Linked DNA regions of Sus scrofa. The protein of the gene in region 1 interacts with the protein of each later gene in a pairwise test. Links are inferred from orthologs where the notes say so. Each region holds a gene or a part of one and is shown in the gene's direction. Other genes may lie near its edges.

The links.
Region 2: the proteins of KCTD9 (region 1) and LONRF1 interact in binary tests that used the Homo sapiens proteins (3 or more experiments, as listed by UniProt). The two-hybrid records come from large-scale screens. The link is inferred for Sus scrofa from reciprocal best matches to the Homo sapiens genes KCTD9 and LONRF1.
Region 3: the proteins of KCTD9 (region 1) and GEM interact in binary tests that used the Homo sapiens proteins (3 or more experiments, as listed by UniProt). The two-hybrid records come from large-scale screens. The link is inferred for Sus scrofa from reciprocal best matches to the Homo sapiens genes KCTD9 and GEM.

The regions. Positions count from the first base shown.
Region 1 is NC_010456.5:9,511,020-9,522,355, reverse strand, and holds the start of KCTD9 (BTB/POZ domain-containing protein KCTD9), read left to right. Parts: upstream 1-4,669; 5' UTR 4,670-4,893; coding exon 4,894-4,941; intron 4,942-11,336. UniProt on the Homo sapiens protein: Substrate-specific adapter of a BCR (BTB-CUL3-RBX1) E3 ubiquitin-protein ligase complex, which mediates the ubiquitination of target proteins, leading to their degradation by the proteasome.
Region 2 is NC_010459.5:882,083-892,759, reverse strand, and holds the end of LONRF1 (LON peptidase N-terminal domain and RING finger protein 1), read left to right. Parts: intron 1-142; coding exon 143-301; intron 302-413; coding exon 414-576; intron 577-3,520; coding exon 3,521-3,673; intron 3,674-7,316; coding exon 7,317-7,475; 3' UTR 7,476-8,780; downstream 8,781-10,677.
Region 3 is NC_010446.5:42,461,914-42,472,590, forward strand, and holds the end of GEM (GTP-binding protein GEM), read left to right. Parts: intron 1-65; exon of another isoform or gene 66-3,801; intron 3,802-5,544; coding exon 5,545-5,621; intron 5,622-6,402; coding exon 6,403-6,607; intron 6,608-8,669; coding exon 8,670-8,947; 3' UTR 8,948-10,028; downstream 10,029-10,677. UniProt on the Homo sapiens protein: Could be a regulatory protein, possibly participating in receptor-mediated signal transduction at the plasma membrane. Has guanine nucleotide-binding activity but undetectable intrinsic GTPase activity.

The DNA.
Region 1 (11,336 bases):
ACCTGGTGCTCCCTTCCCATTTCATCTTACATAATACTACAGGGTTAAAAATTTTTTTAAATGTATGATTTTATTGCTTCATCAAGGATGTTAAGTGAAACTGGTATTATTATTACTTCCTATGAGTGCTGAACAGCGATGAAGGTCAAACAGTAGCTTGGTGCCATCCGTTTTGCCCACCATTGCTTTTACACCATGAGTGCAAACACCAACACAGTGGAGAAGGGCAAACAACACCTGAGTGCCGTTTTTAAAAACAATTTTGACCTCAGGGACCTCTAAGATGGGACTCTGGAATTCCCAGAAACCTGCAGATAATTTTTGAGAAGTCCTGCACTGCACAATCTAGCCTCATGCATACAGTGTCTAAAACCAAAAAATAAAGAAGTGGCAATAAAAGTACTCCTTAAAATAAGAAGGCCAATACTAAAAAGGCCAAAAGAGGCAAATAAACGTAAGCCAGGGGCTGTCTTCCATAGTAAGCCTTGTACTACTTGACTTTTTACAAGCATGCATTATTCTGATAAAAATTGGCAAAAATATCTAAATACTTCCCCATCAGCAGATAATTTGCTCCTTTCTACAAGCTTATTCCAAATGCATTTGGTGGGGGGAAGGGACTTCTGACCCCACATGCCAACACCTAAGAGTCACACAAAAAAGCTAGACACTTACAGACAAGATATCAAAAGGAAAAAGATTGGAAAACATTGCTTCACCTCATTACAGAAAAAGAGACAGGAACTAGAAAAAAAAATTGCAAAATAAAATAGAAAGCACCTCTAGGAAGTCATTTTCTATTCAGGATCTCATAACTTTTATTTATTTATTTTTTGCTTTTTACAGCTGCACTTTCGGCACATGGAGGTTCCCAGGTCAGGGGTTGAATGGGAGCTACAGATGCTGGCCTACATCACAGCCACAGCAACGCCAGATCCTCAACCCACTGAGCGAGGCCAGGGATAGAACCCACATCCTCATAGATACTAGTTAGATTTGTTTCTGCTGCATCACAACAGGAACTCCTCATAACTCTTAGTAGATCCATGCTCTCCACCAATGTTTATGCTAATTGCACAATCTTTGTTAGACAGAGGAAAATATGACTTTCTATCCAGATCCAAAACAGATGAGGTATGCTGGGGAGCAGCAATGGTACAAGAAGCTTTCCATCAAAGAAAAACATTCTCCTAGAAGAATTCGTGATGGAATTTAAAGAAAATCCTACCTGAAAAGGGGAATTCCTGGTTGAAGAAGCATTCTTTAAACTCCGCTGCTGGGCAATGAAACGAATCAGATGGTTTGTTTCAGGGGAGCCCCGAACACCAACTGTAGAGCGTCGTCTGGCTTTTTTAAGGTAGGATGACGACTTTCCTATAATGAGAACACCTTTTTAAGTTGGAATAAAACAAGGCAATCATTTGCAATCAGGCACTGAATATGATCCACCAGCCTGAGAGAGAACACGACAGACACATGGTGCAGAAATCTAGGTATAAAAGTATAGGCAAAATTGTTCACCCACCACTTGTAGGGTGGGTACCCCTATTTCGTCTGATTTACTGTCTAATCCTAGAGCAGAGCCTGGCACATAGAAGGCCTTTATCAAAGTTAGGGAACAAGCATGTGAACATATTTTAATTAACAGGTCTCATTTTTGTTTCCTATTTCCTCCAGAGTTGGTAATGGCTTGCTTTGGACTAAGACTTTAATCAGTCTTATCCCTGAGGATGACCCCCCACCCACAAGCACATTCTCTCCTGTCCTTAAGTGTTCAAGACAATTTGTTTCTCTCAGATACCGATCTACCTTCAGCACAATACCCTGTATTCCAGCCATGCACCTAAACCCACAAAAATCAATCTACCTTTTCCTTTCTTTCTTTCTTTTCTTCTTCTTTTTTTTTTTTTTAGGGCTGCACCTGCGGCTTGTGGAAGTTCCTAGACTAGGGGTCAAATCTGAACTGCAGCAGCCAGCCTATGAACGTTAGATTCTTAACCCACTGAGAGAGGCCAGGAATCAAACCCACATCAAGGATACTATTTAAGGACACTACTTAATTTGATGAGCCACAATGGGAACTCCTGAATCTAGCTCTTTAAAGTCTAAGAGTGATGTTCTTGAGAAGGGAACGTGGGATGACGTGCAACTTTGGTCTGCTCTCTATCCTGTATTTCTAGTCTAGTGCCTGTATTTCAAGTCCCCCATTACCTTCCATTTCTAAATGCTGTTCTCGAATTCCATTCCCGTTATTCTCCAGCTATAGTCAGACTTCACAGGTGAATTTCATTTCTACTCCTTGAAGGAGATTAGCCCAAGTCAATTTTCTGTTTGTGACTTTGAAAGAGACATACGCCAATCTTGCAATGTCACATTTCCTTTCTTTCTTCTTAGGGCCTCACCTGCAGCATATGGAGGTTCCCAGGCTAGAAGCTGAATTGGGGCTGCAGCTGCACGCCTATGCCACAGTCACAGCAACCCTGGATCCAATTCACACCTGTGACCTACACCAAAGCTCTCAGCAACACAGGATCCTTAACCCACTCAGTGAGTCCAGGGATAAACCCACATCCTATGACACTATACCAGGTTCTTAACCCATTGAGCCATAACAGAAATTCCCATGTCACAATCTCTTAATTGCTCTTCAGCTTTCTCTTATTTTTGCCACACATGACCATAGAATGTATTACTGCTTATAGCACACACGCCTCTCTATCTTATGTATCAGGTCAAAATGTGATTTTCTTTTCCAGTTTGGCCATGGAGCACAGCTGTGACTTAGGCACATCATCATGCTGGGAGCCGTGGGACCTGGTCTCCCTGATCCAGCAAGTTTGAAGGTCAATTTAGATGCATAAAGTACTAAGACAGGGTAGCTGAACAAAACAGAATTTAATTTTTATTGCTTTTAAAAGCACTGCAATAAAAATACTCTCTCACCTGAGGAGTTCTTTACAAAGCTTTCAGGTGTAATTCCCAATTGCTCCACAGTTACTGTGGAAAAGTTTAAAGGCGATTTAAAAGTATCTGATGTACAACGATTAGGAGTCACTTCAGCTGAGTGCTTCTGAGGCGTGACAAGCTTCCCATTTCCCAATATGAAAGAAGTATTTTCTGAAACAGACAACACGTGGTGAGGGCTAAACATCCTTGTCAAGAAAAAGACCTAAACCTTAAGTTTTACAGAAAGATACCAGGTCACTACATACCAGCGTTAAAAGCAGACTCCTTGGTTTCAAGGGGCTCGCTGTCTTTCGAACTAGCATCCATCTGAAAAAGAGATGAAAGAAAAAGAGCCCCACCTCCAAGATAAATGTGATTTGATCAAGATCCTCTTTCAAGATTTAATTCTAATACAATCTATACAGGCAGATGACAAGAGACAACTTTTGGAGCTTAAATTAAAGCGAAATGTGGGAAACAAAGCGGATCTCATACTATAAAGCAAGGCTTTTAAACCTTAGCGAACATCAGAATTGAACTGGGCACCCTATTAGAAATGCAGCTTTGCAGATTCTCAAAAATTCTAATTCAGAAGATCTGGCTGGGCCCGGGAAATCTGCACTTTAAAAAGCAAAGGGGTGATCCAGAAGAACACACCTCTGAGAAACATGCCAAAAAAAAACATCTCTGCGGTAGCACCGTCCCTGAAATCCCACCCAGGCCACTCGCCTACCTTTCGCGCCCGCAGCTCCGCTCTCCTCCGGTCGGGTTTATTTTGAGCGCTCCACCGATGAGTGTCGTGCGCTCTAGACTTCGGCTCTTTGGTCCTGAAGGGTTCGCTCGAGAAAGCAACTGTCGGCCGCCAAACCAGCAGCGAGGAGGCTACCTCGTCCCCCGCCGCCGACGCTCGGATCCCCAGAGCCGGCGTAAACCTGAACCCTCCCCTCCACCCGGCCGCGGCCCGCCGCCCGATTCAAATCGCCAGCCCCGCCTCCTCGTCGTCCCGGCGTTGCTCTGCGAATCTCTACGCCGCCGCCATCCGCACGTGTGCACGCTCACCCCGAAGGCTCCCAGGTCTTCACCTCGCCGTCCCAGGAACAGGTGTGGCTTCGTGAGCTCGGAGGGACATCACCGCTAGCTGCAGTGACACAGTGACCAGGGAAACCAGCGATTGACCTCCGTCCGTGGAGACTACTTTCTTGAGAGTCTCGCGGAGGAAGCCTTCGGTTATGGCTTGTAGCTTAGTTCCCGCTCTTCCGATTGGATGCTGCAAACTTCGAAAAGAATCATTGGGCCAATCCTGACAGAACAGTCGGCTGCTCTTACCCAATCAGCCAGTCTCGACGGCAGCCGTTTCCTGTGTGCGCTGACAGAGTGGGAGGGGTTACAATAGGAAGGCGCTGACTGGTGTGGCTCGCTTTCAGCGCTCCGCCTCCTTCCATCAACCTCCGCCTCTGTATGCAGATGAGCTCTACCTGGTCTTGGCTTTGCGCCTGCTCAGTAACGCTTTGAGCCGCCGCTTGGCTCCTGGTTCAGCTCTGATTGGCCGATAACCCTTCTCCGTAGGCTAGACAGCAGTCTCTGTTCCCTCCTTCCACCTGGGTTGGGTTAGTAAGAGCCCGCCCAGTGCAGCGCGACGATTGGCTGAGTTCTGGCCGGCGCGGCCGGATGATTGGCGAAGCTTAGAGTCAGTTTGGGAGAGGTGGGGGAAGGGCCCCAGGCTGACTGAGGAGCCCAGGGGCGGGGTGGGAAGGAGGACCGGCCAACCTTGGGGTGTGGGACGGAGAGTGCGTGCCTGTGTGTGTGTGCGTCTGTAAGGGAAGGAAGGTGGCGAAGGGAGGAGAGTCCGAGTGGGTGGCGGGAGGGGAAGGGCGGGAGAAGAAAAAGGTGGGAGGAGAGCCAGGTGGGAGGGTGGCGACTCACTCAGGACCCAGTGGGGGCAGCGCGATGAGGCGGGTGACCCTGTTCCTTAACGGCAGCCCCAAGAATGGAAAGGTAAGGGGGTCGGGAGGAGGCGAGGCGGGCCCGTCTGCGGGGGGCGAGGGCAGCAGAGTGCGGAGCGGGCTCGCAGGGCAGAGGGCTGAAGTTGGGGAGAGGGGCTGGGAGCGGGGAGGTGGGCGTGCTCCGGGGTTGGGGGGTGTCCTGGAGAAGGTGTGCGTCGGGTCCCCGCGGCCTCCTCTCAACCTCGGGGATCCCTAGCCTGAGTCTGCCCTTGGACGCCCCAGCTGATATGGGGACCAGCGCAGGTCAGCTTGTGCTTAATGGTTCCTAAGTCCAGGTGGGGGTCCTGGAGAACAGAGGACCGCTGTCACCTGAGCGCTGGAGACTTCTATTCCTCTTCCCATCTCCCCCGATACCCCGCTGCCCCCCACCCCTGGCTCCCGAAAACGCTGGTTCCCACCTTCGTGCTGAGTAATGGTCTGCTCCAGAAAGTGGTGGTAACAACTAAGGCATGGGACATTAATCAGGTGAAAAGAATTAAACTCTTTTTTATCGGTGGATAAGTAAATCCCAGATCGAATAGAAGGATTGAAAATTAGTGACATTTTCCTGATGGTCCCCCCAACCCGCCCCTCTTTTAGGAACCCCAGCTCCGCCGCCGCCAAACTTCTGTACTCGCTTTATTAATCCACCTAATTTCATTTCCTTAGAGGACTGGGACAATAGACCAAAATGGGTTGATTTGACATTACTCTTTGCTGTGTTAGGCCTTTGTTGAGGGTGTGGTGCTAAATATTTGTGCAGCGCTGGAGCTAGCCAAAATGAATCCTGTTCCTTCTCAGCCTCTTGCCCCACCCATGAAAGTTGCTCGGCTTCTTTGGAAAATTTGACTGTTCAAGGCAGACATTTATGGTGTGGCTAAATGACGTTTAGAAATAACTAAGCCTTAGCGTCCGAGGTGAAGGTAGATTGCCCTCACTGTCTTATTTGCGAGAATGCTTTGTTTCCTGCATATTTAGGGAACATAAATTTTTAAATGTTGTCATTGTGCCAAGGTGAAGAAAAAAAAAATAAAGGGCTTTTCAACTACTCTTCAAGCTTGAGTAAATGTGCTCTAAAAATCTGAACCACACCCTAGTTTGTTGGCTACAGTTTTGCGTTCTTCTGGTCTTAGAGGTTTGATACTCATATGAAAACAACTGGCATAAATTCAGGATCCTGCATTTTCATAAATGCTACCTTAAATAGGTTTCACAGGTTCATGTTATTTCTGACCATTATTAACTTTGTCGGTACCTATTTTGTCTGTTGATAACTACCACTCGTAATCTAAAATATGTATTGTTACTAGAAGAAAGATTTAATATCTCTAAAGTCACACTTGTAATTTGTTCTCAAAAATAGACCTCTGACCCTTTTATTCAACATCTCTCCTCTGTTATTCCATGAAAGACAAGATGTTTGGACCCTGTCCTAAATATTTAGCTATTCTCTAAATCTCTTCTGAAGCTACTGAATTTTGTTCTTGTCAAAAATCAGCTGGCTTGGTCTTGCCATATTTTTAATAAGGTTTTTTTTTGTTTGTTTGTTTGTTTTGGAAAGCTCTCTAGTTTTGACTAGGTTAGTTTTTTGGATTTAAATTTTATTTGCTTTAAAAACATTTTGTCTGAGAATCTTGGAAGACTGGGCAAAAAAAAAATCCTCAAATAATTTAATATATTTGTTACAAAGATCATGCAAACCCCACTGGAGAATACCAGTATGATTCGGTATTAAAAATAAGTCTGACCATAATCCTTACTACTTAACTGGAAAGCATATTCTGCGCCAAAGTTATCAGTGTTTCTCCTCTGATCCCTTAAGCTGATTAAGAAAGTAGTAGTATAATTACTCTTATTTGACAAAAGAAAGCAGAATAAAACATAACAGCCTGCTTTTTATATAAATAAAGGAACTGTATTTAGCCAAGATTGGCATGGTGGTGACATGATTTTCATGAAGCTGAAACGACACACTACAGCGATAGAGTTTGATTTCCTATCCACCAGTTGGAATATCTGTGTCACTTTCATTATCTCCTTATTTGCCTAGCTTCTGTGTTTGTTTCCTGGGCATAAGAGTAATGCCTGTTTTTGGGTGGTTTTTTTTTTTTTGGTTTTTTTTCCAAATAAGTTTTTCTCCTTTAAAGCTTGTTCAGTGGTTGCCGGGCCGGTTGTGAAGCCTGGGTTTGGGGAGGCACAAAGTCACCCTGAGGGCTACATCATATGCTCCCATGACTTTTCCATATCCTGAGTAAACATAAGTGTAACTGGTGAATGTTTTCATGTTGAAGAGCGAGCTGTGCATTTTCTAAAACTGCTTTCTGGGGTGAGATGGTCCACCACAGGGGGTGTGCAAGAAGTTCTAGGAGAGTTTAAGAAGAAATAACATATGCCTTACCTGTATTTTTTACTTAAAAATGCAAATTAATGCTAAGACCGGATTTTTTTCAATCTGGAAAGACACACCTGCTTTTGATGTGTAATCACTATGTCAGCTGGGCCCAAGTCTTCTGAGAGAAGGGAATGCATTCACATGTGAAAAGAGTTAATGGTTACTTCTTCACTGGTTGGTTCCCTTTGGCATGTTGTGATGTGTTGAGGCTTACATGGGCCAGGTTAAGATTTGTATTATCCAGTTTTAACTAAGTTAGTCCTCACCAAAATGCCAGGTGACTTTACAAGATTCCTTCAAAGACTTAGATGCTGATTGAACACAGTATTAATTTTGCAAACGCAAGCCACAAGAAAGTGCAGGGCTGCCACTTCTCCTAATATAAACTATCAGATTTTTTAAAAACAGTGGATCTCTGGATGTGATAAGAGGGCAAAAAGGGCCAAATTTTAAAGAAGACTATTTGAAGTCCTATTTAATAACTGCTATGAATAATAAATTGCTCCCTAAGTGTATATGGTTCTTCGAAATATCAGCCAATGATAGGATGAAGTCATTCCAATGAGCAAGTCATTTTAAAATATTTTCCAGCACACAAAGACAATTTTAGATTTTTTTTTCATTTTTTAATGTTTAAAGATAGTCTTGAATGTGGCAGAAGTTCAGTAAATTTAATGATAAAATTTTAAGGGATTTTTACTTGTTGGCTGAATCTTAAGTCAGTAAAAGTCTTCTTATCATTTGGGAAATCATATTTTTCCTGGCAGTGATAGTTTATAAATAAGTAAATATGCAAATGTTTGAGCACATACCCCAAAACGCTTTACTGATGGGGTACATAGTCAAAAATATAATGAAGACCATATTTCTAAAAAAAAAAGGGGAGTCTTTTAAGTTACTCTAAAAGAGTCAGATTTGAACCTTTCATCCTTTCTCCATATGCCTCAGAATTCATATCGTTCTCTTATTAGTGTTCTCTCTAATAGTTGGCATCGAGGAATTTGAAATGAGAACTCAGATTTCTCTCTGCATGTAGTGAGTGGCTTCTGAGCAACCCAATGGCAATTCAGTTTCTGTGCATTGTGGACATAAGTTGCTTTTTTTTTTTTTTTTTTTTTTTTAATTTTAGTGTAATCAGTAATGTGCCAGTTGTAGGCCTTTTGTATACCTCATTGATTCATTAGGTCAGCACTTATTGAGAGCCGTCTTTGTATGAGGAACCATGCCAGGTAGTGCAGCTACAGCAGGATATGAAATAGATCTTAATTCTGTACTGATGTTTATGGTCTTGGTCCAGGACTTAGCTGTCTTCTGGCTTTGATGTTATTAGGTCACAAATATATTGTTGGTATTAAGTACCCAGATTTGAATTCACTGTATTCCGTTGAAGAACGGTGAAAATCCATGTAAAGCTTTGCCTCTTAAAATCTGAACATTAAAAAGAACCTTGTAAAGTTGCCTGGTGGCCTAGCAGTTAAAGCTTCTATCATTGTCAGTGCTGTGGCATGGGTTTGATCTCTGGCCTAGGAAGTTGCACATGCTACAGGTGTGGACGGACACACACACACGGACAAAGAACTTTGCTCTTCAAGTTTAAATGTTTTAAAAATATATTTGATACATATAAAAGAATACAAGCAAGATTATTAACTGCCCAAAAAGAGGACTATAATGTAACAAATATCAATAAACCTACCATACAACCCCAAAAATAGCACATTACCAAATCTTAAGGTGCTTGTCTGCTTTCCTGTCCCCCTGCATCTCCCATAAAGGCAGCCAATTTTATGAATTTTGTACTTCTCTTTCCCACCCTTTTTTTTTTTTCTTTTTCAATAAATAGCTTTGTCATGTATGTGTGTATAACCAAACTATATATTTTTTTGTCTTGTCAGCTTTGGGACACAACATATCCTGAATTGGTATCATTGTATATAGTCTTTTTGGACTTGAGTTTTTCATTCAATATAATATTTCTAAGATTTCATCCATAATGTCCCACATAGTGATAGTTTAGTCATTTTCACTTTTTTATAATAATTATACATATAAAAATACCATTACAATTTATCCCTTCTCCTGTCCATGGACAGGTTTTCTTTTTTTTAAATCTTTGCTATAAAATTGACAGTGCTGCCATGAATATTCCTGTGTATCCTGGTGCACATGTGCAAACACCTTTCTAGGGCAGTGGTTCACAAACTTTAGCACGCATTGCAGACGCCTGGAGGAATTGCACAACTATTGAAGGACCCCCACCCCTATAGGTTTAGATTCACTAGGTCTGGGGTGAGGCTAGGAATTTGAGGTTCTGACCTACTTCCAGGTGATCCTAAGGCTGCTGGTCTAGGAACCACACTTTTGAGAACCTCTGCTCAAATATATATTTAAGTTGTAATTATTGGGTGTTAGGGTATGTGAAAGTTTAATTTTTTTAAATAATGCCAAATTGGGATGTTCCCTGGTGGCACAGGCTGCAACTGCAGCGTGGGTTCCATCCCTGGCCCAGGAGCTTAACATGTGGCAGGCATGGCCAAAAAAAAAGAAAAAAAAAGCAAATTGTTTTTGAAAGTCATTGCAGTAATTTATATTCTACCAGTGTTACGTAAACCTTCTCATCGATCCATATCCTTTTAACACTTGGCTGTTGTCAGACTTTTAAATTTTTGAATATTTTAACATTTGTCTTGCCAGTGTCATCTTTTTAGGAAATTTTAATTTTTAAAATGTATTAAACTGAAAGTGTAGGTAGAGAAAATCGCTTGTACATTTAGTTATTGTGCTCAAGTGGATTGGTTGGGTAACTAGACCTGCATAAATCCAATAGGTAGTTATGGATTTTGTATTATATATAGATATTGTAGGCATAGAAAAATGTTTTAAATACATATACAGGCTTTACTTTTTAAATTTGAATAACATAGGTTACTACTTGAACACAGTGTTTAAAAGCAAATTAAAACTTCTTTAAACTGGAAGTTTCTGTAGTGGCTCAGCAGTTAAAGAACCATCCATGAGGAGGCAGGTTCGATCCCTGGCCTTGCTCAGTGGGTTAAGGATCCAGCGTTGCCTTGAGCTGTGGTGTAGGTCACAGACACGTCTTGGATCTGGTGTGGCTGTGGTGTAGGCCAGCACCTGTAGCTCCGATTGATCCCCTAGCCTGGGAACCTCCATATGCCGCAGGTGTGGATCTAAAAAGAAAAAAATAGTAGTGTAATATAGAGGCCATAAACTTTAATAGACGTGCTTCTCAATTTACCCCATTGAAAGTTTCCAAGTATAGTACCTAGGTTATTAAAATGGGTAATTAGAATGACATGGAAACCTCAAGTCCACCCTAGGACATACAACACACATGAGGCAAATAACCATTGTAAGCATGGTCATTTTGTAAATGCTTGGCCTCTCTGAGGACTACAGTAAGCTTAGTAAATAAAAGAACTCATATCTGTGATATATAAGATTTCCATTGCTGCTCCCTCCCACCCTGGAGCTGATATATAATAAAAAATACCTGTGCCAGTCTGTTGGACACATTCTCACATCTTTTCCATGTGTATCACATTTTAAAATCTGATATTCTCATTAGTTTATATAAAAGATTTTGAGTATTGTCTGCAGGATAATTGCATTTTTTTTGAGTTAGTATGCCTAAGAGAATCAGCTAAAGTGATCTTGTTGAAAACAAATGCCAAAAATGCCTTTCAAATGAAAACCAAGTATGTTGACCCAACTTAAGGGACATTTTCAAATTTGCAGTACCATAAGATTCTTTGCAATAATTTCAGTGCTGCTTTCTCAAATGATGGGCCTTTGGTTATACAATTTCAAGAAAATTATTAATTACCAAATTACTTGTCAATTGCTAAAAATAATTATTTGTAAGTCTAGTATCTAGATTTATGAAGACATTAAGTTATAACTTTTTCTCCTTACTGCATGAATAATACAGGTTCATTGTGGCAAATCTGGAGAACAAATAAAGAAATTCACAAGATAAGTGAACCTTAATTCTA
Region 2 (10,677 bases), on another chromosome or scaffold:
CTCTTCTTGCTAAGAGTAAAAAAAATCACCTGATTTTACAGCTAATTTATTTTTTGTTTTATACTGTTTATTACTGTTTCACACTTCACTCATTTTTGTTGTATCTTCTGATATGTAGTAATGAAAATTTTTTCTTCTTCAGCTTGACCAAGAATGTTCCAATATTTGTTTGCACTATGGCCTACCCCACTGTGCCTTGCCCTCTTCATATATTTGAGCCAAGATACAGATTGATGATTCGAAGAAGTATACAAACTGGAACAAAACAGTTTGGGATGTGTGTCAGTGATACACAAAATAGGTATGATTTTTGTGTAAATATTTTGATTGATACCAGAATTTTCTTTGAATATTGCTGACAGCGTGCATGCTTATTGCTTGAACTTTGATATTAATTAGAATTTTTATTTTAGTTTTGCAGATTATGGTTGTATGTTACAAATTAGAAATGTACATTTCTTGCCTGATGGAAGGTCTGTGGTTGATACAGTTGGAGGAAAGCGATTTCGGGTTTTAAAAAGAGGAATGAAAGATGGCTATTGCACTGCAGACATTGAATATCTGGAAGATGTTAAGGTATTAAAAACTATTCTTTTTCAGCATGCTTCGGTATACTCTGTCCTAGACATTATATAGACTTACAGGTTGATTTTCTGGTTCTTCCTATCAGAGGCCCTTGGCAATACTGATGCAGATTAGCTCTATGTTACCTTTTACCCGTCTTGCTCTCAGTTGGCGAGTTCCAAGAGAAATGGGGAGACTAGAATCGAGATTTCATTCATTTCTACTGGCTCGACAACCTGCACAGTGCCTACAATGTGTGTATCTGCATGGTAGTCACTTAATAATAGCAAAGGATTGAATTGAACTTTTAGCCCAAAGTTTTGAAGCCTGCTAATCTCTGTCCTTTTTAATTGAATTTATTGTAGTCAAGGCTGATGTAATAATCAGTATATTGAACTTTGATATAAAGTTAGCACATTAAGTCCCTGAAAAATTGTGTCATATATTAAGATATGCCTAAGATAACCTCAGTGATAAAATAGACACATTTGGGTGCTGAGTTCAAACTCTAAGGCATCAGATAAAGCACTGTCAGTATAGTCATTTGATGATATCTTACCTGGGAAGGGTTATTGTGATAACTTTCTTAGATGGGGTTAGTGCTCCCCTTTTGATATTTCCAGTATCTACTTTACCATCTACAGTTAGTTTAAGTATCAGAAAAGTGGTTTGTGATACTATAAATATCAAGTTAAGGGCAAAATCCTTAGCATTAAAAACACTTAGATCTTACACTGTCACTTGTTCGTTGATCTGTTTGAGCCCTTCATCTCAGTCAGCACTTATTAAATATTGACATTAGGCATTTCTACAAACATTAGCTTATTGAATTCTCAAAACTTTGAGATAGTTAGCAGATGAGGAAAGTAAAATTCAGAAGTGTTAATTAATTTACTCAATATCATGTAGGTAGTATAATAAAAATAATATAAAGCCAGCTCTCTGGCTCCAAATGCTAGGTTTTATCATTATACCATATTGCCTCTCTGCTAATAAACTTGATTAATCTGATTACCTCTCCTATCATATTATAGAGATGCTGTGGGGAAACTTTGCTGTGTGCAGTGGGCCAAAAGTATTGTATAAATTGGAATTTTGATTGATTGATATGGTGTGTGCTTAGGCATATTTGGTTAATGGAATCATTTGCTTAAGGTGGTATTTTTTGTAAAACTAATAACCTTATTTTAGTTTTATATAAACTTAAATCTTTATATATTGGATTTCCTGACAAAATCCATTAAGTATATGGCTAAACATATGACAATATATAAATATATAATAGTAGAACAGCATGTTGAAAGAATTATGGATTTGATGTTTAGTGCCTCATCTGTATAATGATTTCATATTCATTCATTCTCAAATTTGTTTTTTATATCAAAGGATTTTTTCCCTTAGTGTAGCAATTCTGTTTTCTCTGTCTTCTAATGACATTTTAAATTCTGGGTTTTTTTTTTTTTTTAATTGAATTACGGTTGATTGACAATGTTATGTTAGTTTTTAGTGTACAGCAAGGTGATTCTGTTGTTATATTATTGCAGCAAAGTTTCTTAACTTTAAAAGTTTGCCTTTAGAACGTATGCCTGCTTCTTTCCTCCATTTTCTAATTCAAGACTCTTATCGTTTTTATCATTCCCTGATTACTAGAGCCCATGGTTTGTTTTCTTGGATTTTGTAAGGGTGGAAAGCAGATATTTTTTTTCTTTTTGAATAGTTTTAGCAATCACACGTTTATTTCTTACTCATATCAAAACCAATGTTTGTTAGCAGAGGACTAAATCTTGTATAGCCAATTCCAAGACCAGAATTCTTGAATTGTATGGCTCTTCTACCTTTTTTTAGATGAAATTTTTAATATGGTAAAATATATGTAACATAAAATTCACCATTTTAACTATTTATAAGTGTATACTTTAGTGGAATTAAGTATTAAGTACATTCATGTTGTGGTGGTAAAGCAGATGCTTTTTAAACTTTGGTTTTATTTTTCATTTCAAATCTTTCAAAAATAAAAAGTATGTTGTCTTACCTTTTATATCTCAGGATGTTTTCAAAGTTCCATTGTTGCTTTTATATTGTCATACATGAAGTATGAAAGGCTGATTCAGGCCTGGTATTTGTTCAGATGTGCTAATATATGTGCAATAGGGCTTTCCCTGCCATGGAGTGAGAAGGATATGGGTGTGTGTTAAAAAAAATCAGTATGAGATGGATGAGTTAATGTTCCATCTTCCCACCTCTGTTTTATGAGACTGCGCTTCTGGATCTTAGTCTGGAGGGTTGATGCATTTAATTTTATATTTGTAGTTTGATGAGCCAGATGTCTGAAGGGGGTACAGAGGGGATGGGGATAGCAGGAGATGTTTATCAAGGCATAATATAGTCTCTCTCTTTGGATATTCTGGCTTTATATACTAAGTTCTTTGTTGGGGTTTTTGTTTTCTTATTTTTGGACCCAATTTCCTGGTTAAAGATGTAATTATGCTTTTCCTTCATCCTGTTCTGCCATGTTACCTACACCTTAAACCTCCCCCAGTCTTTCCTTTTGTTCTAGCAGCTGTATTCCTCTGCTAAATTTTTGTTCCACTACTTTCAAAATCCATGGATCCATAAGAAGAAAGGAATTGTCAATCCCTGTAGACCTTTGTCTGGGAACTCGCTCTCCATCTTACCCCTCCCAGCTGGGGGCAGTTAGTTGGGTTCTGCAGTGTTGCATTGCTAAGTCAGCAAGGCTAGGTTGGCTAGGCTGGGAGGTCAGGCCTTGCTGTCCTCCTCAGGGTGGCCCTTTCTGCATGAGGCAGAACTGTACAGTGTATGCTGCATAAGAGTAATATTCTGGTCCAGCACTGAAATAGGTATTCCCTATTTTTAATTTTTTTTCCCATTACCACAGGGTTGGTAGTATGGTTGGGAAGATGAGGCACAGTCATCTTACTGACTGTTGTATTCCTAGGTTGAGAATGAAGATGAGATCGAAAATCTCCGACAGCTTCATGACTTGGTGTACTCTCAAGCCTGCAGCTGGTTTCAGAATTTAAGAGACAGATTTCGAAGCCAAATTCTTCAGCACTTTGGATCAATGCCGGGGAGGGAGGAAAACCTGCAGGTATGATGGCTTTGATATTGTTTCCAAAAGTCTCACTTTTTGTGTCAGCCTAAACTGGTAGATTTTTAAGTTTCTTTCTTCATCTTCAGTTTTGCACAGCATTTCCTTTGTCCCATCTTTAGTAGTCACATCTCAGCTGACCTTGAAATTTCAACATCACACCATTTCTAAAGTGAGTTCTCATCAGTGCCCAGCATATTGTCAGTTGCCATATGTTTGTTTTGTCCTGGCTACCTAAATCTGATTGAACCTGATAGAAGTAGCTTTTGATGAGCATAAAATCAAATAAGTTAACAAACCAGCTTGTAGGAAAATGCAACATTGCTTTCTTTTCCTTCACCTCTACCACCCCCTCTTTTATTCCACAGTCCTCTTCCATTGCTTTCTGTGAGTCATATAGTATCAGTCAGGATTCAGTCAGGAAAATAAAATAGCCAGTAGAGTTTATTGTAGGATGTAGTTGACACAGCCCTTGGGAGAGCTAGACAAAGGAAGGTCAGGGCCATCATCAGTGGAACTCAGGGAATCTCTGCCTGCCTCAGTCAGCATAGGCTCAAGACTTGAGGGGAAGATGCTGTCATCCCTTGGAATCCCAGGGAAGTCCCCACCAGTTTTATCTCAGTCTGCAGTAGTAGAGCAGGTGGTTGTTAAGAATTCTCTGGAAGGCTTCTGCAAATCTTACGGCTGCCCACACTTGGCAGCAGACTCCAGGAAATAATGGCTTCCTCTCCCAAGAGTGCCTCTGCCTGGTCAAATTTAACCTGGAACCACACAGGGGAGGGGATTCTGGGAAATGTCATTTCTGACATCTCTGAATTGCAGAAGGAGGTGGTGGTGGTAATGATGAGCTGAGAACAAAGAGGACACCAATAGAGAAACCCAGTGTGATTATAGGAGGAGCCTGTTGAGATCAGATTATGTCATAGCTCCTTTTGTCATCCTGAAGCTTCTGTTTCAGGTTCATTAAAAAGCAATGCAAACTTATTTGCAGAACACAGACAGACTCACAGACTTTAAAAAACTGTAGTTACCACAGGGGACAGGTGCAGGGAGGTGGGGAGCGTGGAATGGATTAGGGCTTTGGGACTGGCATCTGCACACTGAGGTATGTGGAATGATTGGCCACCGGGGACCTGCTGGAGAGCACAGAGAACGCTACCCAATATTCTGTGATAATCTATGTGGGAAAAGAATCTGAAAGAGAACAGATGCGTGTACATGTATAATGGAATCACTTAGTTGTACAGCAGAAATTTTTTTTTGTATTTTATTTGTGTTAGAGTATAGTTGGTCAGCAGTGCCATACCAATCTCCACTGCACAGCATCATGACCCAGCCATACACTTAGACACGTTTTCCCCTCCCACACTGTCCTCCATCGTGCTTCCTCCCAGGAGATTGTATGCAGTTCCCTGTGCTGTACAGCAGAAATTATCACAATGTTGTAAATCAACTATACTTCAATAAAACTTTAAAAAAAAGAATGACATCATGTAAAAATTTTTCCCCTTGTAAATGTTGTTCATTATATAAAATTTAGGAAATTAGTAAAAAAAAATTTACTCATATCTCCATTCATCCATGAATACTGTTAACATTTTGGTGTATATACTTACTATATTTTATGTATTTGAATTCATACCATATATTCAATTCTCTGTTCTACTTTTTTATGAATAAATTTTCAGTTTTTTCTTATGTTATTCTAATTTGAAAAAAAAGAAAAGCAATGCAATGTGTAGTGAAGGTGGCTTAAACATTCTTTTATATAAATTCTTCCTTCTTTCCATAGCCTATAGTCCAACCTTAAAACATCAGAGGGTCTTCCTTGGTGGAGATAATGTTTATTTTTCAGATGAAACTGGAGGCTGAGGTCTTATTCTTAAATCCTTCCTAGGATTCCACAAGTCTTTGAAGAAATTGAAAAATATCAATAAACTTAGCTCAGTGTTTTAAATATACATTTTAAGAAGGCAGTTCTCAACTGGGGTCAGTGTTGCTCCCACAAGACATTTGGCAATATCTGGAGACATTTTTAAGACTGCCAGAACTGGGAAGATGCTACTGGCGTCAGTAGCCAGAGGTCAGAGATGTGGTAAATGGGCTGCAATGCACAGGACAGTCCTCTTAACAAAGAACAGTCCAGCCCCAAATGCCAGCAGCCTGAGGTTGAGACACCCTGTTTAGGGCAGTGTTGTGCAGAGGAAAGAGTGCTGGCCCAGAGGCAGGTCTGGATTTGAATCTTGGCTCTGCCACATATGAGCTGAGAAAACTTGGACAATTTGCATTATATTCATGAGCTTCAGTTTCCTCATTTTACATGGGCATAATAATATCTTCCTTGCATGATTGATAAAGGATTTGAGATAGCCATTCTGATAGATGTGTTTTGATTTGCATTTCTCTGATGATTATTGATGTTGAGATATCACTTCACACCTGTCAGAATGGCTGTTGTCAGGAAGATAAGAACAGGTGTTAGCCAAGGATGTGGAGAAAAGGAAACCCTCCAACACTGTTGGTGGGAATGTAAATTAGTGCAGCCACTATGGAAAACAGTATGGAGGTCCCTCAAACAAATTAAAAAATAGAGCTACCACATGATCCAGTAATTCCACTTCTGGGTATATATCCAAAGAAAATGAAAGCACTAATTTGAAAAGATACGTGCACCTCAGTGTTCATAGCAGCATTATTTACAGTAGCAAGATACGGAAACAACCTAAGTGTCCGTCAACATATAAATGGGTAGAGAAGATGTGTGTATATATGTGTGCTTGTGTATTTTCTGGTAATATTCACATGTACACACACACAAGGGAATACTAAGCCATAAAAAAAAGAATGAGATTCTGCCATTTGCAACAACATGGATGGACCTGCAGAGTACTATATTTAGTGAAATAAGTCAGAAAAAAGACAGGGAGTTCCCGTCGTGGCTCAGTGGTAACGAATCTGACTGGTATACATGAAGATGCAGGTTTGATCCCTGGCCTTGCTCAGTGGGTTAAGGATCCAGTGTTGCCGTGAGCTGTGGTGTAGATCACAGACATGGCTTGGATCTGGCGTGGCTGTGGCTGTGGCGTAGACTGGCAGCTACAGCTCCGATTTGACCCCTAGCCTGGGAACTTCCATATACCGTGGTTTCAGCCCTAAAAAACAAAAAGTTAAAATAAGTAAATAAGTCAGAAAAAGACTAATACTGTACATTTTCACTTCTATGTGGGATCTAAAAAATGAAACAAACAAACGTAAATCAGAAACAGACTCAAGGATACAGAGAACAAATAGTGATTACCAGAATGGTAGGGGCAAAATGGTTGAAGGAAATTAAGAGGTAAAAATGACTAGGTGTGAAATAAATACATTACAGCACGGGGAATATAGCCAATATTTTATAATAGCTTTATATAAGGAGTATAAGCTATAAAATATCAAATCACTCTGTTACACACCTGAAACTAATATAATATTGTAAGTCAAACTATACTTCAAATAAAAAAATCAAAAAATTTAAAGAGGACTTTGAGATAGGATCTCACTCCATAGTGTTCATTAAGGATTAGCTTGGTGATGATTTGTTACTGCTATGATTACATAAATATTTGTTTTATTAAAACTGTAATATGTGGATTATTTTTAGGCAGTCCCTAATGGACCTGCGTGGTGTTGGTGGCTTCTTGCTGTCCTTCCCGTTGATCCCCGATATCAGCTGTCGGTTTTGTCAATGAAGTCTTTGAAAGAACGGTTGACAAAGATACAGCATATACTGACCTATTTTTCTAGAGACCAATCTAAGTAACCAATTGCTTGGATCTTCCTCTCAAGTTACCCTAATCTGGCTGTGGTGACAGCCAGATTGTCCGCTGCCTTTGCACATCCAGTGCTGGTTTGAGAAACATAATGAACCTGTTCTGTTTTTTTTTTTTCTTCAACCTCCTGAATCATGTGGTTCTGCAAACAAATACCTTCAACTAGGATTTAGACCACTAAGAACTTGCACAGAAAAACACACGCTGAATGTGTGTTAAACCTCTACATTGTGATGAAGTTGCACTATGTACCATACTCTAAATGAAATGAGAACTCTTTGCGTGTGTGTGCGTGTGTGTGTGCGTGTGTGCACGTGCGTGCGTGCAGTATGGGTGCATTTTCTCTGGCTTTAAAATTTTAAAAGAAAAAAAAAAGCCATAGAGAGCAGAACTTGCCGAGGGTCATTTATTGCCCAAGTTTACAACAGTAGCGATACAAGTTTTTGCAAGTTGAATTTGCCTCAGATTTCTCTGTCCTAATGCTTATATTTGCACAAGTATGTAAGCTATGGTATTGAGTATCACTCTTCGTTGGAAATACCGCTCTTGCTGAACTGTCTTGACCATTGACTATGACACAGTCTCTTATTTATGTAAATACTTGCATCCCAATGGCCGACCGGCATCGGATGCAGAATCTAGAGCCAGTTTTCAGGAACAATTGCAAACCTGACATGGTACTGTGCATCTATTCATAAAACACTTAAAACTGTGAAAATATGGTTTACACTTAACTGTACATAAAGGTAAATGGAGAGCTCAGTTCAGTATCAGTCTGTACATTTTAAGGGGGGCTTTTCACATTAACTGCCCATCTGTGTAATTTATAGTTTGACATGATGTGTTTGTTTAAAAAAATTACCTAGTATAAACCCATTAAGGATCTGAGGGAAGTGAAGAAGCTTAATGTAGAACTAAGCTTTTAAAGTACGTTTTGTTTTTTTTAAATTCTGGTCTTGGTGCAAATGTTAGTTATGCCTTATTCATATCACAGTTAGGTCACCATGCTGTGACATGGTCTGTATTCATGCTGCCCTAGATACTTTTGTAATTATTTGTTGCAGACTTGTGACTGTCTCTCTTAACTTTCTTTTATGTAAGTAATTTGTAAAAGTTTCTTAAAATTTTTGCTTTTGCTTATTTAATTTTGAATAAAAGCTAAATTCATAGTACTTTTTTTCTTAAATTTTAGGTCAAGGACAAAAAAGATCAGCAGAGGAATCAAGATACATAAAGAACAGATGAGTTTTGCTTAACTGTTGTGCCATGACACATAAACTGTAGCTTTCAAAATACTTTTTTTTAGTCACCTTTTGATCAAATAATGCAGTATCCTAAGGAAGCTTTAGGCCCTAAAACCATGCTCTAAAGCACAGTTTTCAAACCTCTTAAAAATCCATGTCTTTGTAGGATAAAAATAAAACTCTTACATTTTTGTTAACCCCATTTGGGACTCCTCTTGGCTAAACAGCCTTGACCCTTTCAGTCCCCAGTTCCCAGCTAGGATTTTTCAAATAGAAATAAGTCGTCTTGTAATATTGAATGTTTTTAATTTAAAAATAGGCAGAGGGAGTTCCCATTGTGGCACAGCGGAAATGAATCTGACTAGTATCCATGAGGATGCAGGTTCGATCCCTGGCCTCTATCAGTGGGTTGGGGATCCAGCATTGCCACGAGCTATGGTGTAGGTCACAGACACAGCTCAGATCCCGCTTTGCTGCGGCTATTGGCCTAGCCTGGGAACATATGCTACAGGTACAGCCCCCAAAAAATAGGCGCAAATGACTGTCTCAACAGAGGGCCACTCTTTGACCTCACAATTATGCTAATCAAGAATTTTGAATAGTTCTATCAAAAATGTCTAAAGAATGGGCCATTTACCTTGTCAATAGTTCCTGATGTTTTAGATTAAACTTTCTTATAATAAAAAACTATCAAATGTCTGTTAAATAGCTTAAATAGTGTCTGGATAGTATAAATGAAGAGTTTACCTAATAGTTCTGTATAGTTCTCAAAATATGTATCAAATACCTGTTTCCAATTCTGCATCTGTGGAATGTTCATACATGTGTATGTACATACATAAATGAGCATTAGGTGGTCTCTACACACACACAAACACACATACCCCAATGGTAGTTGATGGGTTTTATTTATCATTGACCTAATTTTGTGATAAGTGAATGATCTCTGGTAGTTATTCTGTCTATAGATTTTTTTAACTCTGGAATCCTTTTCCTGCTGCACTTTCCATTCAGTTTATCTGAAAAAAAAAAAAGAGAGCAAAAGTATCTGACATAATCTTTTCCCTTACCACAGTAAGTGACTAAATTCTGTCATGAATTCCCATATTTCAAACCAAGGTGGCTAGTTGTTGCTCTTCTTTTTTTTTTTTTTTGTCTTTTTTGCCTTTTCTAGGGCCACTTCCTGCAGCATATGGAGGTTCCCAGGCTAGGGGTCTAATCAGAGCTGTAGTCACCGGCCTATGCCAGAGCCACAGGAACGCCAGATCCGAGCTGCATCTGTGACCTACACCACAGCTCACAGCAACGCTGGATCCTTAACCCACTGAGCAAGGCCGGGGATCGAACCCGCAACCTCATGGTTCCTAGTCAGATTCGTTAACCACTGTGCCACGACGGGAGCTCCTTGCTCTTCTCTTCTTATACATCTGTCTCTACATGTCCAGTTCTTCCTGTTCCTCAAGGTCAACTTGAATGCTTTCATTCAGCCAGAACCCTATAGCACTTTCCTTGTACTTTGCTTGTAGCACTTATGTGGGATAACTGAATTAAATACATAAACCCTCTCCTGAGTATTAAGACCAGTGTCTAGCAGTTTAGACAGATTTAACCTCGAAGACATAGGCTGATCACTGAACAGAGTTAAATACCAGTTGAAAAGAGAAGCTGGATAAAGATGGTTAGAATGAGCAAATACTTTTGCCTTCCCTTCCTCCTCAAGTTCAAAACAATGACAGTAAGGAAAAGGAAATCTAATGGCTTTGCGAAAACAAAGTCTGTCAATTGACCAATGCTTTTGAGGAATTTCAGAGATATCAAAGTGGGATCAATATAGAAGACCAGAAGAGAGCATGGCTTTACAGAAATAGCGGACTTCAGAGGTGCCCCAAACTAATAGAAGTCTTGGAAAACTTGGGCAGATTCCTTGGGGAGGCTGCACTTAACACAG
Region 3 (10,677 bases), on another chromosome or scaffold:
AAGTATTTTGATAATAGCTATAAAAAGTGAACCAATTTGGTATTAATAACATCTCTATTTTACAGGCGAAGAAGTGGAAGCTTTTGAAGTCAAGTGACTTTCCCTGGGTGGAAACCTAGTTCATAGTCTGGTCAGGAGTCAAAACTAGTTATAGTTGCACCTAAATCCTACGTTCTTTCACCGTACTCGGCAGCCCCTGGCTTTAGCATCCAAGTGCTGTTAAATACTATAGCATTGGGCTGGGTGCCGGCCACATGCCTGCCTCTGTGCTAGTCTCTGGGGTCCCCAGTGATGAATGAGGTGCACTGTTTATATCCTCTAAGGAAGGATCTAAGTGTCAGTGGCTGTAATTCTGGGCAGGGGGAAATTAATGGATACCTTAAGAAGTAGCAACAAAGTACTTTGGGGATTGATAGAAAGAAGAGATCCATTGAGAATTTTTGTTTGTTTCTGTAAGAGGAAGGAATTAAAAAAGTTAGTGAATAGCAGACTTTCAAAAATCTTTGTCCATCTATCACAGGCATAGATATGGGTGGTATCCCCATAGGCATAGAGTACTAAGAAGATCGACCCAGCCCTGAAATTTGGGAAGGCAGGCTTCTATATTTGGCAAGCCTCTTCGTTTAATAGGGAGGTGAAGCGGTTGGTATGGAGAACCCTTTCCTTATCTTTTCAAACAGAGACTCTTGACAACAAGAAGTTTCTGGGGTGACTCATCCTACCTTATGTGGCCTATTTGAGTAACTTAATTTATGCTGTCTAGGATTATACCCCTACTTTAGGTGGCCATTGGAATCACTAGTTGGCTTTAGGTTTTCCAAGAGGAGAGTTTTTCAAGGCACTTCCCTGCATTGTTTTGTTTTTGTTTTTTCCCAGCATTAACCGTAAAAAAACTACCCATAACTCTCACCATTATTTCTTGAAATAAAGATGGATGTTGTTAAGATTATGTGGCAATAATCTTATGACTCTCTGTACACATTTAATGTTGTTCATTTATTCATTCATCCATCCATCCGTCAATCCATCCATCCATCCATCCATCCATTCCTCAACAGTTACTGAACACATACTATGGAGCTTAATGAGATATTATGAGGATACACAAAGAGTCATGGGGCTTCTTCCTTAAAGGTACTTACAGTATATGCAATAGAGATCAGCTGTACCCAACTGTAAATCAAGACAGGGTGTGACAAATGTCTTCACAGAGGTACAATGGCAGTGCTGTGGGAATTCACAGGAGAAAATGAATATTACTTCTGGCTGTGGAAATCAGAAAAGGGTTCATGGAAGAGGTGGTCTCTGAGTGGAACCCTAAAGATAGCTAGGATTTGGAATCCCTGAGGTAGGTGGGAAGGCACCACATATGTGCACGGAAAGTTCTGGAGAGAACACTGGTGATGTGGGTTTGGACCCTGGCTTTGACAATGACTTAGTGGGCTGTTCTTGGATAAGATACCTATAGCTTGTCCTAAGGTACCCCCTCCAGCTTCCTCATTAGTAAAAGAGGGACAGTCCCTACTTTCTGGGGTAGAGGAGGATTAGAGGAAATAGCATAGTGCCTGACACAGAGTAAGTGGCCAATGAGCAAACGTTAGAGCTCATTGTGAATCTGTTGTTTCCTTTCCTTGGGCTTATCTTCCACAGTGGGCCCTTTCATTGCTTGAAATCCTCATCCACTTTGGTCCTTCTTGGCTGGGGCCCTCTGAGACATGCAGAGGAGATGTGAGCCACTGGAGGAGAGGTCAGTCTTCCTGAGCAAGGCTTTCCTTCCAGGGTTCCTTGGGATCCCTTGGGCTCTGAAGGCTGAAAGCAGTTGAGTTTCAGGGGAGAGGAATGCCGGGACCTCTCAAGGTGGGGGTCACTTGAGGAAAGCCACCTCAAGGTGCGAGAGTCCAGGGAAAGTGGCTTCTGATCACAATCACCCAGTTCTAGAAAAACCATCCCATGCCATCAGGATGATCCATCTTGTGAGACAGAGGGTGAGTTCTCACCCCATGCTTTCCTGGAAAGCACTGGAAAAAAAAAAAAAAGGAAAAGAATACTTCCCCAGATCAGGTTACTCAACAGCTTTACAAGCCAATAGGCCTGAACCCTTCTCCACATGTCATAGCCCAGGGAAGTTTCAAAGGGCTCTTCTCAAATTCCTCGTTCTTCCATTTTCCCTCTTTGTACTGGATTAGCACTGGAAAAGCCTGAAAGGTGAGTGACTAAGGGAGGAAGAGAAACTAGAACTTTGGTTACTAGCAGGTGCCGTCCTGGTGGCAGAAGATGGTCAGGCCGGAGGCTTTGTATATTTGAGGAATCCTTTGGGCCTGTAGCCAGAGGTGATGTATAAAGCCAGGTGCAGGGCAGAGGCACAAAGCAGGGCGGAGATGTATTGTTTTAGGCTCTTGGGTTTCCAACACTAACTTTCAGGCAGAGGTGAGTCCAGACAGTGTGATCCTGTCAGGAACCTTCCAGAACCGCAAGGCAGTTTGGCTCTGCTTTTGCAGCTAGAATCTTTAGTCCACTTTTTCTCTAGACTTCTTCTGATACCTCTTGATCCAAGAGAAAATTTGAGTTTGCATTTTCCCTAAGCTGTTGAAATATGGTATATTCCTATGGGAACTCCTGGGGACTCAAGTGAATCCCTAGTGCCTGCTTTAGGGTGGTAGGCGATGGGCTGAGGGCTGAGAAAGTGCTTTTTTGAGGTTTCTGAATGCAGGAAGGGAGAGAAGGGAAAAACTCTGAAGCAGTAAGCGGCAGTCAACCCCCCACCCCTGTTGTGCTGCTCAGGCTTTGGTGGTTTACGTTTGGTCCTGTCAATTTATCTGTTGAGGTCTTCCTTTACTCTTCAGGAAGACAAATTATGCATCTTCCGCTCTGAGCCCATCCACGATGCATGCCCTCATGGCAAACACCGTGGAATAACAGATTTTAAATCCCTAAGCAGAAAACAGTTACTATTGTTTAGAAGAATGGTACCTAAAGAGGTGGGTAAACTGACAGAAAGACAGAGCAACCCCTGGCTGATTGTCTTCCCATTTGTCCGTGTTTAACTCTCCTGATCCAAATTCTTAGATGAGCAAACGTTAAACCAGGAGCATTTTTTTTTTTTTAAATAAACCTGTCACTGTTTTAAAACAGAAATGTTCTGGTTCCTCCAAAATAGTGCTCTTAAGCTAACATTTACCTATAATAGTTTCATCTGAAAAAGTGATGATAACGACTGACATTGATTGCATTTCTACTTTGTGCCCAAGCTTAATATATATAATGGTCACACAGCCCTAAGGCATGGGTACTGTCATCAGTCTCGTTTCACAGATGAAGAAGGTGGGGCCAGAGACCTTACGTAATCAGTCCAGAGCCCAATAGTTAATAAGAACTGACCCCTGGATTTGAATCCTGGCTTGCTTGTGCTCACAGCCACAATGCTGTATTTATCATTCATTCATTTGATAAGTGTTTACGGAGCACCCGCATTCTATCAGGCATTGGCTCGGGTGCTGGAGATACGGTAGTAAATATTACAGATGCAGATGTCTGTCCTAACAGTCAGGGGGAGGGGGCGAGAGGGACAGACAATAATAAAATAAGTAAGTTAAATGATTCATGTTCTTTTGGCACTCAGCACGATGAAGAAAAATAAAACAGGGAAGGGAGGAAAGAGTATTGATAGGGGAGGGTGATGGAATTTAAATAGATGGTCAGAGAACACATTCTTCAGAAAGAGGTAAGGGAATAAGCTTTTGGGTGTTAGAACAGATTCTAGGTGAAAGGAACAGCAAGAAAAGTGATTTAAAAAAAAAAAAATCTCTGGGAATTCCTGTTGTGGCTCAGTGGTAATGAACCCCTGTAGTATCCATGAAGATGCAGGTTCCATCCCTGGCCTCACTCAGGGGGTTAATGATCCAGCATTGCCGTGAGCTGTGGTGTAGGTTGCAGACGAAGCTCAGATCTGGTGTTGCTGTGGCTGTGGTCTAGGCCAGCAGCTAGAGCTCTGATTTGATCCCTAGCCTGGGAACGTCCATATGCCTCAAGTGCAGCCCTAAAATGCCAAGAAAAAAAAATCATTATGAAGATCATAATTTTCAAATGATGAAATTCAAAATAGGAAACCTCATTGTGAAAACAGAGCGGGTATGAGCTCAGTTGTGTGGAGTTAGTGGGAATTCCTCTTGCAAAAATCCCAGTTAACTCACTTAATCCTCTCTCTTCCCCTCTCCCACCGATTTTTCTGGCCTGGAGCTACCCTGGCCCATTTTACTGCATTACCCTTTCACTATACTCAATCTGGGCTCCAGTGCAAGGAGGAAAGTTTCTATTACCGAGTAGAGCTGGAGGCTGCACTTCTGGTCTACTTGAGATGGGAAAACAAGCCCATTTATTCCTATGGAACTGGTTTTTTTTTTTTTTTTTTTTTAATGAAGAGAACTCCAAGATAGGAGTAACCTCAAGATTTTTTCCCTTACACATCTCAAAAGAGGAGAAATGTCTCTGAGCTGAAAACTCCTGAAATTGCCAGTGAATGTTTGGCAGTCACCCCCCTGAAAGGCGCAGTGGCTTTCGATGTAAGGCTTCTGAGTGGGGCTTACAGTTCTGCTGGGCAGTCAGTGTTTTCTGATGACAGCAGCCCTGGAATCTGAGTCAAAAACGCTGAAGTGGGAGTTCCCATCGTGGCGCAGGGGTTAACGAATCCGACTAGGAACCATGAGGTTGTGGGTTCGATCCCTGCCCTTGCTCAGTGGGTTAACGATCCGGTGTTGCCATGAGCTGTGGTGTAGGTTGCAGACACGGCTCAGATCCTGCATTGCTGTGGCTCTGGCATAAGCCGGCAGCTATAGCTCCGATTTGACCTGGGAACCTCCATATGCCGTGGAAGCGGCCCAAGAAATAGCTTAAAGACATTAAAAAAAAAAAAAAAAAAAAAAAAAAAAGGCGCTACAGTGAGTTTATCCTCCATATGCCGTGGGAACCTCCATATGCCGTGGAAGCGGCCCAAGAAATAGCTTAAAGACATAAAAAAAAAAAAAAAAAAAAAAAAAAAAAGGCGCTACAGTGAGTTTATCCTCCTAAATAGTTTTCCTATATGAAAGATATAGGAATGATGAAAAAGGAATCCTTTCATTTCAGGTGTTTAATGATACATGTTCCAAAGATGAAGTTCTTCTGCTTAGTAGATATTGGAGGAATATATGTAGAATGTTGTTGAAGGTGACTCAAAAATAATTTGTCTTAGAGGTCCCACTGTGGGCCAGTGGATTAAGAATCTGACTGCAGTGGCTTGGGTCACTGCAGAGGCACAGGTTTGATTCCTGGCCTAGCACAGGTGGGTTAAAGGATCTGGCATTGGATTCAGTCCCTGGCCTGGGAACTTCCATATGCCAAGAGTTCGGCCATTAAAAAAAAATTGCCTTTGTGAACTTTTACATATTTTACTTTGTATATGTACATAATTAATTGCATATTTAGAAAGTTTATAGCATCAATTTCTACATGGCCGTCTTATATAAAAGTGTTTAGCTGACCTTAATATTACTGTTCTTTCTTTTCCAGAAGATACATATGAACGAACACTGATTGTTGATGGGGAAAGTGCAACAATTATACTCCTGGACATGTGGGAAAATAAGGTATGCAGAACCTGTAAGTTCCTTCAAGGCTTGCCTTCCACCAGGCGGTTTGGTGCAAGGGTGACATTGTCCTTTGTGGGCAGTTCCAGATGAGTTGAACTCATTTTCTTGATTAAAAGCATTGACTTCTAAAGAATGAAACTGTTCTAAGGAACAAGTTGTTCATAAATGAGCTTTGAATACCAAGCAAGTTGCAGTGATTTGCCCTTCTATTCAGAAATACCAAAAAGTCAATTTGTTGTAGGGAAAGTGCCAATAAGTATGGATGATCATTTTAAACTGTGTAAAACCGTATTATACGACCTTGATACTCTCCATCCTAGTTTTCAGCATGTGCTTTGTAGAGATCTGGGGCTTTTGAGCATATACGTTAGATTTTCTGTTTATCGAGAACCTTCTGATGCTGATGAAGGAATTCTTGATTTCATCGGTTGGAAGAGGCGAAAGAGTTTTTTGAAAGCCAGGAAAGGCTCATTTGGGGTAGTTTAAATAAAGTTGGAAATACTGTTTGGCAGAGTCATTGTATAATTTATCAACTCAAGCTGTGAAAGGAGTCAGAAAGTAAAACTTCTTGGCATCCGTACCCCATGAGCCAGCAGTCTTTGTAGCCACAGACATCTTGTAGGCATGGAAGACCAATGCCTTTTGGGGAGTCGGAATGAATTTTCTTTCTTTCTCATATCAGCAAGGATACTTTAGGATACACGCATGGTTTCTTTCAAACGGACACCTCATTTACCAGCTCATCTGAACTCAATGGGAGTTCTTCTCATTTCATTAGGGGGAGAACGAGTGGCTCCAAGACCACTGCATGCAAGTCGGGGATGCCTACCTGATTGTCTACTCCATCACGGACCGCGCCAGCTTCGAGAAGGCGTCTGAGCTGCGAATCCAGCTCCGCAGGGCCCGGCAGACAGAGGACATTCCTATAATCTTGGTTGGCAACAAAAGTGACCTGGTACGGTGCCGGGAAGTGTCTGTATCAGGTGAGAGGAGTGGTGCCAGTTACCACAGACACTATCTCTGGGTCTTGGGTATTTTCCTTTAAACAGTTGCTCTTCCCTTCCTCTTACACAAAGCTGGAACCAGGGACTCTTAAGATGCCACGTGGAGTTTTACGCACACTCGAAGACACCCACATTCCCAATAGATCATCTGGTCTACCTGCAGGATTTCAGTCTCTCCATCCCCAAGCTTTCCCTGGAATTCTTTTAGAGAAGAGGTCATACTCGGGTTTACTGGCAGTTCCCAGCCCTTTTTTCTCATCCTCTCTATTCTCCAGGGACATCTCTCAAGAGTCCCAGGAAGTGAAAGTAGCACCTTCATGCAAGAAGGATGGGAACTTTGATTTCAAGAAACTATTGAGATTAAGAATTCTACTCTGGCTGCCTCTGATTCCTGTAGACCCTAGAAACACCCTTCCAGCCCCTACCCTTTGCTTCCTGAATAACCTTAACCTTAACTTTCCAGTTAAGGTGCCAGTCCAATGGCATCACATATACTTTGTCGTATTTAGTTCAGGCATGATTCCTATTTGTTGAGTTGGCACCCAGTGCCTTTGGGGCCCTTAAAATCTTAATTTTTTTTTTTGTCTTTTCGTCTTTTCTGGGGCCACACTCACTGCACATGGAGGTTCCCAGGCTAGGAGTCGAATCAGAGCTGTAGCCGCCGGCCTACACCAGAGCCACAGCAACGTGAGATTGAGTAGAGTCTGGAACCTACACCACAGCTCACGGCAACGCTGTATCCTTAACCCACTGAGCGGAGCCAGGGATCAAACCCGCAACCTCGTCGTGGTTCCTAGTCAGATTCGTTAACCACTGAGCCATGACAGGAACTCCCTAGGGGCTCTTAAAATTTTATTGGCCTAATTCAAATTTGGTACAAGGGTGAAAAAACAAAATACTGCATTGCCAGGCTCCGCCCAGGAGAAAAGAATGCTGTTAAAGACTAAACAGACCCAGCCAGCTTGGGAATGTCTTACTCTTAGGAAATGACTGTCTGCAGGAGTCATTTTTTCCAAAACCAAACTTGGACACCTGGTCATTGAACACAATGGAGCATTTGAAATTGAGACTGTTTCAGAAAAGCTTTTTTTTGTATCATTCGCCATAATTACACTGTACATGTGTGAAGATCCTCAAAATTTTTCAAAATAACTCATGAAAGCTTAAATAGTTTTTTTTTTAAGTAGGATTCTTTTTGTTTCTTTATTCATTTTTTAAACTTCTATTGAAGTAGAGTTGATTTACAATACTGTGATCATTTCTGCTGTACAGCAAAGTGACTCAGTTATATGTGTACACACATCCTTATTTTCAATTCAGAAAACTGAGTCAAGAGAAAGTTCTCTTAACTTGAGAGTGAAGCGGGTCTGGACTCAGATCCTCCACTTACAGGTTATATGAACTCCCTCAAGTTTTTAAAGGACCCCCCCCCCCCATCATCTACTGGAAAGGGATAATGTGTTTTTAAAGATAGTTGGGAATGTCTAAAAAATGTTTATACAAGATCCTTCTGTATAGCACAGGGAACTATATTCAATATCCTCTGATAAACCATAATGTATATATTCTTTTTCATATTCGTTTCCATATGTATATATAGGTATGAATCACTTTGCTCTACGGCAGAAATCAACACATTGTAAATCAACTACATTTCAGTAACGCTACAAAAAAATGTTTATGAAGTATTTAACCCAGTTCCTGGCACATAGTAAGCGCAATAAATTAAGGCTATGGCTTTTAGTATTGGATGGAATTTGACAATATTTGATGTAATTGGACCTTCACACAGGGTTTGGCAGGCCAGATCTAAAGCCCATCTCTCCTGCTTCTGGCAATCTTCCTGTGAGATTCTGCTGTTTAAGCTCCAGGAGGACACGGGTCCCAGGGGCCTCCGTATCCATTGCATGTGTGATGGACTTAGCATTACCTTGAGGACCATTTAAAAAGAGGATTCATCCAGCTTGGCTGTGTGTGTGTGGGGGGGGATGCTATTCTGCAGCCCCTCTGACTTTCTCCTCCCCACCCCACCCCCAACCAGAAGGCAGAGCGTGTGCTGTGGTGTTCGACTGCAAGTTCATTGAGACCTCAGCGGCTGTCCAGCACAACGTCAAGGAGCTGTTTGAGGGCATCGTGCGGCAGGTCCGACTCCGGCGGGACAGCAAGGAGAAAAACGAGCGGCGACTGGCCTATCAGAAGAGGAGGGAGAGCATCCCCAGGAAAGCCAGACGCTTCTGGGGCAAGATCGTGGCCAAAAACAACAAGAACATGGCCTTCAAGCTCAAGTCCAAATCCTGCCATGACCTCTCTGTGCTCTAGGTACCCAGAGTCACCCAGATGTCCCCCGATGGACGTCACTGAAGGCCATTGGGACCCATAATCTATATTAGATTGGATTCTTAAGTAGTGTAAGATGTGGCTTCCCCTGTTGTAGCTGGGAACTAACATGTTCGCTGGTGGGCAACATTAATGCATGGGAAATGAAAGATCTTTGTAAAGAGTCAGTATTTATTTACATGAAAAGCCTGACCTTTGCTACATGGACACCCGAGACTCGAGAGAGCGTGGTTGGTGTTCACATGTGTTTCCTCTCTCCTTTGGTTTGTAGAGGATGAGTGCCTAGGCAAGAACTTTTTCTTATTAAGATGTTGCCCGGTGTTCTGATATGTGACTCTGAGGCCAATCAGTGGGTCATAGATATAGGAAGGCTGTCAAAGGAATTTTTCAAAGGAGGGAGAACTTCTTTCTCTGTACCTTGTATTCGTGGAGCTAGGATTGCCCGACGGGGCTCATCACAATCATGACTATGATGCTCCATGAAGCTGTGAAAAGAAATGATGGACTTGCTGGAAACTAAAGCTTAGCAAACAGTTTTTTGTTCAATGCCCACAGTGGGGGATCCAGAAATTTGTAGAATTGGGAACTGATACCTGTACCACTAATGGGTTCAAAAATTCTCTCTTTACGACTGTGTCTTATAATTTTTTATTTAGGGGAAAATTATTTTAGCCAAATTCTATTGCATCAAACCACCTTTTGTGTTTCATTATTTTTCAAATCATAAGGGCATCATAAAAATATTTTTAAAATCTGAATTATTGAGAACCTGGAGCGCACAATGCAAAGTTTTTGAATATAATCGAAGGTCTGAATTTTTATAAAACATGAGACATAATACTTCCAATACTTTGGGTTGACCCTTGTATACCACAGCTTTGCTCTATTTATTATTATTTTGCAAAATAACAACCATTTTAACATTTGATAAAGCATATTTATGAACATATTTCTTAATGAGAAAAATGCTCATTTTATTACCATTTTCTATCTTTTTCAGAATATGCAAGTTTTTATCTATATGTCTTCTAATAAAAGAAATAAAATATTTGAAAAAAAGGCATTTCTAAATGTTTTTTCCTTCCCTACAAGGTGATTATGAATATTTTGCTATAGCTTCTAGAGAAAGCACATTATAAAGAAACACACTTATTGTATTTCTTCACTTCACTGGTGGAAGCCCAGTTATTATCTGGTGGGTTTTTTTTTTTTTTTTTCGCTCTTTATGGCTGCACCCGCAGCATGTGGAGGTTCCCAGGCTAGGGGTCAAATCAGAGCTGTAGCTGCCAGCCTAAACCACAGCTGTAGCAACGCCAGATCTGAGCTGTGTCTGCCAACTTCATCACAGCTCATGGCAATGCCGGATCCTTAACCCACTGAGTGAGGCCAGGGATTGAACCCGCAACCTCATGGTTCCTGGTCAGATTCATTTCCACTGCGCCATGATGGGAATGCCAGTGATTGTCTGTTTTAAAGAGTATCCCTGACATCTCTCTTTTGGAATGCAATTCGCAATAATGCAAAGTGATTTTTGGCTGATATAATTTGGAAGTATTTGGGATCCTGTAAATGCTATGTTACAGTAAAAGTGAGTTTGACTTTCATTTTGGTCTTGCAAATACCTGGCTCAGCAGATGGGCCTTGCTTTGCTCCCCAGAGGCTCTTGGTCCTAAGTACTAGAGGAAATTATAAAGGATTAGGGGTGGGGGGAA